2 linked regions of the Canis lupus familiaris genome follow. The protein of the gene in region 1 purifies or fractionates together with the protein of each later gene. This does not show direct contact. Links are inferred from orthologs where the notes say so. Each region holds a gene or a part of one and is shown in the gene's direction. Other genes may lie near its edges.

Evidence for each region.
Region 2: the proteins of MICALL2 (region 1) and RAB8A purify together in Homo sapiens (co-immunoprecipitation; 3 studies listed by BioGRID and IntAct, with this or other methods). This does not show direct contact. The link is inferred for Canis lupus familiaris from reciprocal best matches to the Homo sapiens genes MICALL2 and RAB8A.

What each region holds. Positions count from the first base shown.
Region 1 is NC_049227.1:15,644,599-15,648,098, forward strand, and holds part of MICALL2 (MICAL-like protein 2), read left to right. Parts: coding exon 1-160; intron 161-996; coding exon 997-1,184; intron 1,185-1,890; coding exon 1,891-2,006; intron 2,007-2,682; coding exon 2,683-3,468; intron 3,469-3,500. UniProt on the Homo sapiens protein: Effector of small Rab GTPases which is involved in junctional complexes assembly through the regulation of cell adhesion molecules transport to the plasma membrane and actin cytoskeleton reorganization.
Region 2 is NC_049241.1:46,760,030-46,764,177, reverse strand, and holds the start of RAB8A (ras-related protein Rab-8A), read left to right. Parts: upstream 1-1,348; 5' UTR 1,349-1,357; coding exon 1,358-1,481; intron 1,482-4,148. UniProt on the Homo sapiens protein: The small GTPases Rab are key regulators of intracellular membrane trafficking, from the formation of transport vesicles to their fusion with membranes.

The sequences.
Region 1 (3,500 bases):
GCTGACCACTCCCCCCAGGCCTTCTGTGTGGCCGAGGAGCAGTTGGGCATCCCAGCCCTGCTGGACGCTGAGGACATGGTGGCCCTGAAGGTGCCAGACCGGCTGAGCATCCTGACCTACGTGTCACAGTACTACAACTACTTCCATGGACGCTCCCCCAGTAAGTTGGGGCTGGAGGCCCCCCCAGGCCTTGCATCTGCCAGGCTGGCCCTCTGTCTTGGGCCCAAGTGAGCCCCCCTGCCAGCTCAGTGGTGGTTTTTAGCACCACCCGGCAGGGCAGAAAGCAGCAGGGAGGCCTCTCTGGAGTCACATCCGTGGGGCTCCCTGAGCTGTGGCTTCCTCCCCGGGGGAGTAGCCCCCACCCTCCTGCCACCATGAGGGTCCGAGCCCCCCAGACCCCACACTCACCTGTGCACCAAACAAAGGCACCCAGATCTTGCCTCTCCTTCCCCTCTGCACCCCTGGAGCCCATGCCCACAAGTCTCGCCTCAGGCAGCTTGGCAGACCCTGTGTGGGCTCCGAGGCCTGGCTCCAGAGGCGCCCCCCCACCCCCGTTTGGTCCTGACATTTGGCAGGCCGGTGGGGGATGGGCCCAAGGGACTGGACTCCAGCTGCTCTGCGCACCCCGAAGCTCAGCTCCTTCCCCTCCCCTCACATTCCTCATCCAGGCCTTAGAAATCCCCGGAACCACTCTGGGCACAGGACCAGCCCCGCCTTGATATTTCCACTTTGTGGAGAAACAGAAAAGTTCCATTTCCCTGACCCCAGATCGGGGCTCTTGGAGCCTGGGGGGAGGGGCGTGGGTCAGACCAGGCCCCTGCTGGGAATGTGTGCTTGTGGTTGTTCCAGGCTGCCCCTTAGCCTGCTCCAACAGCCCTGGGCTCCAGGCCTCATGTTATCCACTGGCACCCACAGAGAACCCAGAACGGGGGTGGGGGGGGGTGGGGAGGTGGCCCCAGATACTTTGAGAGCCTGATCTCACATGTCTCATGCCAGTTGGGGGTATGGCTGGTATCAAGAGGCCCCCTTCGGACTCTGATGAGGAACCATCTGGGAAGAAGGCTCCATCCCAGCTGGCCAGGCCCTCACCCACTCCAGCCCGGGGGCAGCCGCTGTCTCCAGTCAGCACAAACCCCACCGTCCAGCGGAAGGATGGGAGCTTAGGAGGCCCCCTGCTGAAAACCGTAAGCACCCCAGCTCCACCTTCCCTCTGATTCTTGGGATTGTGACCTCTACACCGCAGGGCCTGGGATGGGGGTCCCCTTGGCTCCCCAGCACATCCTCAGCTGCTGTTTATCAGGATTGACTCCACATACCCCTTCAATCTTGCATGTCAGGATATGATCCCCGTTGTACAGATAGGTAGAATGAGGCCCAGGGAGATTATGCAGGCCAAGCAGATCTGAGACATTGAACCCTGACGTTTCTGGGCTCCTGAGTGGTTTCTGGCCTCCCGCCCCTCCCTCCTGGGTGGGCCAGGAGAGAATCCTGGGTGTGTCCTTCCCGCCTGCCCAGGGTGTTAGGCACCCCCACTTTCAGAGGTGGGGGGGGGGACAGAGGACGAGTGATGTGCTGTAGTCGGGCGCCCCCTGCTGTCCAAGTGACGAGGGAACTGCGGCCTGGTGTTGGGATTGCTGTACCTCTGGTGGCCTCAGGAGCGCCGGGATCTGGCCCCTGTCCCCCCAGACCCCCAAGGTCAGGCTGCAGCCCCTGAACTTAGAGTCCATCAGTGCCTGGTGGGCTGCTCCCCTCAGGGCCTCAGTTCTCTGGTCTGTAAAGTGGGATCTTCTTGCCTGCTGATGGGGCGGCTGTCAGGAGGAGAGCTGGGGCACATGACCTCTCCTAGCCTATGGTGAGGGCTCAGAAATAGTAACTGGCACCCCTCCCAAGGGCCAGGCCTCTGCAGGCAGCTCAGTCAGCAGCACCTGCGCAGTCTGCGGCAAGCACGTGCACCTCGTGCAGAGACACCTGGCTGACGGGAAGCTCTACCACCGGAGCTGCTTCAGGTAGAGCTGGTGTGTGCCTGTGTGTGCCTGTGCATGCCTGTGCATGTGTGTGTATGTGCATGTGTGTGACTATGCATGTGTGTGCATGCGTGCACCCTTTGTGTGAACCTGTGCATGTGTGCATGCACTTGTGCATGTGCATGCACCTGGGCACGTGTGTGTGTGAGTGCGGCCATGCATGTGTATGCATGTGCGCCTATGCATGTGTGCACACTTCTGCATGTGTATGTGTGCTCTCGTGAATGTGCGTGTGTACCCATGCATGTGTGTATGTGCCTGTGAATGCACATGTGCACCCTGTGTGTGTGGGCCCGTGCATATGTGTGCATGCCTGTGCATGTGTGTGCATGCCCCTGTGTGCCCATGCATATGTGCACTTCTGTGCACATTTGCGAGCATGCGTGTTCACCTGTGCACACTTGCACCCATGAATGTATGCACGTGCACTTATGTGTGCATTTGTGAGTATGCATGTACACAGGCATGGACACTCTAGGTGTTTGCACCCTTAATGAGGATTTGTGGAGTCTGTGACTCAAAATGACTGTTGAGTCTATTGCCACAGGAGTTGGCACAGGGTTGCATGAGTGTGTACTCATGGGAGTGTGTGTGAATAAGGGAATGCACGCATGCCTGCCTGGAGTGTCCTCATGGGTCTTTCTCTGCCCTGTGCCAGGTGTAAGCAGTGCTCCAACACACTGCACTCTGGGGCTTACAGGGCCACCGGCGAGCCCGGCGTCTTCGTGTGTTCCAGCCACCACCCCGAAGCTGCCTCTGCAAGCCCCATGTTGCGGGGCCCAGCCCCACGACAGCCAGGGGCCATACCCTCAGACTCCAAGCCGCCCAGTGCCCCACAGAAGGCCCAGGAGGCAAATGGGCCCCGAGATGCAGGGCCAGAGTCCAGGCCAGCGGCCCGGGAGCCTGTGATGGGCAACTCGACTGCCAAAGGCGTCCCTGCTACGGCCAACCCTCAGGCCACCGCCTCTTCCCACGTCCACGCAGGGAGCCCAGCCAGGCCTGCATTCTTGGCGGGCCTCCAGGGTGGCAGAGCCAGCACACGTGTGGCCAACAGCTCCCCAGCAGGGTGGTCATCGGCGGGACAGCACACAGCAGCAGTAATCCCCCGTTCTGCCCCAACGCCAAATGCCCTGGACTCTCGCCCAGCCACCCCACAGGGCCGGGTGACCCCTCAAGTGGCACCCCCCCACACCAAGGTCAGCTTGGGCCCAACGTCTCCAGGCCCAGCAGACACCCCAGACTGGGCCCCATCAGCAGCCTCCAAGATGCAGCAGGCCCGGGAGAGGTTCTTCCAGACTCCTGGAGCTGCCCCCAGCCCTGGCCCAGCTGGCAGGGCCCCGGCTCCTGCAGATGTGCCTTCTAGGGCCAACAGCAGGGAGCAGGCGCTGAGCTGCCTCCGGAAGGCCCTTCCCAGGCTTGAGACTGGTGCTCCGGCACCTGGCAGGTGGGTGGGGAGGAGCTGGGGCAGGCGGGGTC
Region 2 (4,148 bases), on another chromosome or scaffold:
AATCCAAGAAAGCGGCTGGTGGATGGCTGGGGGATGGATTTCCTCAAAGAATCACCTGTACGGAGAGTGAACGAGCTGCCCCAGGGTGCCAGCAGACCTGGGACCACCGGCAACGCCTAAAGCACACGCGGGGACCCCGGGGACTGCGACACAATCCGAGGAGCAGCACCCAGAGGGGGCCAGGCGTGGGCGACGGGAGACACCCGCAAGGAGGGTGGGCGGCGGCTCCGCTGGAAGCTCCCCCCTCGGCCCCCCCCCCCCCCCGCCGCGCCCGGATCCAGATCCGAGTGTAGATGCCCGCACCCCCCGACGGCGCGGCCCACCTCCGACCCGCAGGTCATCTCGGGCTTCCCAAGCCTGCGCGTCTGAGCTCGGGCCCGGTTCCCCATTCGGGAGCCTGGGGAAATCACTGAAGCTCGGTTTTCTAACCCATCAACGGGCGGGAAGCCCAGTACCAAGCCGGCGGGTCGGAGTGGGGCCACCTGGTGTTGTTTTCCCAGTGCGGACCACTCGGGCAGGCCAACACCAAGCTCGGAGCCACGTCCCAGCATCCTCACGGGGCTGCATCCGCGGCGGGGCGGCCGGCGCTCGGGCTCTGGGCAGGCTCCGGTTAGGTCCGAGGGCCTCGCGGCTCGGGTGGCGGAGGCCCGGCAGCGCCAAGCGGTCCCCTGGCCAGCGCCGAGGCCCCGGAGGACGTCTCGCGGGGACCTCGCTTCGACCCCGGCTCTGCCTTCCCCTTCGCGCGCCGGGGCCCGACGCCGCAGCCGCCGCACAACGCGGCCACCCGCGCGGCCCCTTCCCGCGTTCTTCCCAGCGCCTACTGAGGCTGCGCAGGCGTGAGGGCGGGAGAGCCAGGGCCCGCCGCGCGCGCGCCCTCTGCTGGCGCCTAACGATCCCCCCGGCCCCGTACGCACGTCCCAAGCCCCGCCCCCGAGCCGCGGGCGCGCGGAGCCGTTGGCGACGTGCCCCGCCCTCCCCTCCCGCCGGGGGGCGGGGCCGCCCCGGAGCCGGGAGAGGTGGGGGGGGGGGGGAGAGGGAAAGAAGGCGGGGACCCGGGAGGCCACGCCCCCCGCCGGGCTGCATTTGAAGCCCCCGACTCTTCAGGGCTGGCCAATTGGAGCCCGCCCTGTCCCGAGCGCCGACCAATGAGCGGCGCGCTCGGGCCGCTTCCGGCACCGCGCCTCGCTCGCCCCTTCCCCAGCTCTCCCCGCGACGGGCGGGGCGCGGGAGCGGGCGGCGGCCGCGGTGACGCGCGGCGGGCTGGGAGCCAATAGGGGGCGGGCTCGGCGCTGATGGACGGGGCCCGCGGCCAGTGGCGAGGCGCTGGCCGCACTTCCCGTCGGGGAGAGAGTGTAATATGGCGAAGACCTACGATTACCTGTTCAAGCTGCTGCTGATCGGGGACTCGGGGGTGGGGAAGACCTGTGTCCTGTTCCGCTTCTCCGAGGACGCCTTCAACTCAACTTTCATCTCCACCATAGGTAGCGGGGCCGGGGAGCGGCGGAGGACGCCGGAGGCCCGGGCCGGGCGCGCCCCTGAAGGGCTGGGGTTGAGGGAGCGGCTGGGCCGGACGGATCCAGGGATCTGAGAGGGTCGAGGGGGCCGGAGGGGCGGAGAGCAGCCGCCTCCGCCGCCTTCCGGGGGTTACCGGGCAGCGGGGGGAGGCGGCGAACCAAGTGCCCATTTTGCAGATGGGGGGACTGAGGCCCCACCCCTCAGGCTGCTTGTCAGGAAGTATGTGTCTCGGGCTGGGGTCCCGGCTCCGGTCGTCTCGTTCTGTTCACACGGCAGCCTTCGAAGCTGTTCCTTTGGGGTCCCCGCCTTACAGAAGCGAAACAGGCTTGGGGAGTAGGCCATCGGAAGAGGCCTGTGACATCTGAACCTTATTAAGCATTTACTGTGTGCTAGCCGCTTTATGGGCATTATCACACTTTCCAGTCCTCTGTGTTAGGTGCTCTAAATGAGCCCGTCTCACATGAGGAATTTGAAGCTCAGGGAAACGGGGGACTCCCCCAAGGTCACGTCTGCAGGTGGCAGAGGTGGAATTTGAATCCATGTGGGTCTAACACGAAAGCTCAAGGCAGGATCCTGCCGGAGGGATGTGAGCGCTGGTCCCCAGGGCAAACACTGCTGGTCCATCTGAGAACCAGCACTCTCAACCAACTCTCTCCTGCTCTTTCCTCTGGAATGTTCAGGGGGTAAGCCCGGCTCCCTGACCCTGTTTCCCCTATGGGTGAATTTCTCCTAGAAGGAATGGTGAGAAGGAGTCTGGAGCCTTTCTCCGCCCAAACTTCCATCACTTGAGGGTGTCAAGGGTGAGTGACCACTGCCTGCCCTAGGACCTGTCACCCCCAAGGAGATGCCAGATAAAAACTTGAGTGACAAACCAAAATCAGCCGCTGCCACAGACAGCCCTGACTTCCCTATCTGGAGGCCCAGAACACCAGTTGTCACTTTGCAGAACAGCCTTTCCCACAGGGCCAGCCCACATTGTGGTTGAACAGAATTGGCTTGTTGCTTCTCAGTTCTGATATCCACAAAAGTGGAGCTGACTTCTCCCGACGCCACAAAAACAGCCATTGCCCATGTGAAAACATTTGACCTGGAAGTAACGCCGATCAAATCGCGTGGCCTGTGAGCTCCACAGCCTTGCTGCAGAGTGGTCACCAAGCTCAGGAGTTGATTCTGAATGGGGAAAACCTGGGCACCAGGCTTTGCTTTACCCCCGTGTAACTTGAATCCAATCACCTTATCTCTATGAACCCCGTGATGAGCTGCTCATTCCATCCTTGCCCTCCTCCAGGAGCTGCACGTTACAGTTATGTTCCTGATGCAGAGTGGAGAGAATCGCACTGGAAATCGTCATGCCTGCTTGCCAGCTGTTGTTTGCCCTTGAACCAGCACTTAGCCTCTCTGAGTCCTATTCCTTCAGTTTAGGACTAATGCTTTCTGCCTTGGCCAGTGCCCTGGATGGTTGAGGATCAGAACTATATAGTGAATAAGAGGTGGTCATCATGGCCAGAGGCTGCCTGGAGGAAGCAGAATGTCTCCTGCAGTGACACCATCCCCTCCCTAGACACAGATGCTTCTGATTCCTCCCCTTCCACCACCCCAAGGTCAAACTTTGGGACAACCCTTGCATCCCATCCCCACCGGTCAGGAAGAGATGTTAACTCCTGGCAGGCTGTGGCTCGTCCTCAACCCAGACCTCAGTTTCCCAGCCTCAGGAACTTGCTGTTCAGTACAGGCACTAGTGAGATCAATTCAGAGATTGGGCTTTTTTGTTCGGTTTCTAATTCTCAACCAGAAAGCCCAGTCTAGCACTTTAGGGCTCTGAGAAGACTGGCCTCCACTTCCAGACAAAGATATGACTTGGGCCAGGTCACCTGGGGACACAGGTCGCACTTGAGCCCGGAATCCCTCCCTCCTCCCACCTTGGCATTCTCATTACATTTATAGTTTTCCTGCAGGTCTCTGTCTTCTAAGAAAATTTAATTCATCCTGGCCTTGAAGTAATGGCCTCATAATTCTTAGCCTTGTAAAGTTTACACTTCCTAATTATATTTGGTGTGTTCATGAAATGCAGGAAGAGATGAGGACAGAGTGATGCTGTGGAACCTTGCCAGTAGAACGGTGCTTCTTGATTTTATATGGCCCTGTGCATCTGTGACAGGAGGTGGGGAGTGTTTTAGGAAGGAATAGCACTGGGCCCCTGAGTCCTGAGACACAAACTGACTGGATAAAGGTGATTCTCTGTTGGTGCTGAGTGTACCTCTGGGCTTGCTTTATAGATCAGGGATTAAGTGGCTGTTCGTTTCCTGCCCACGTTTCGTTTTGCCAAAGCCTATTCTCCTAAGCTCCATCAATCATTTGTGGTGTAAACTTGGCCCCGTGGCTCCTGGAATTGCTTCTTCACAGCCTGGCTCAGCTTCCAACGTCTCCTCAGGGTCCCATTCACTCATTCCTTCAGGGAGACAGATGGCACAGCGTCAAAGTGCTTCGTAAACCACGCAGCACCATGTAGACCCCGTTCCTCTTAGTTCTATTGTCCTGCCATCTTTCCCCAATGCCTGCTGGCTGCCAGCAGGGCTGCACATCTGAATGACTGCATGCCAGCCGGTCTGCATCTGCATAACTTGGATGAATCA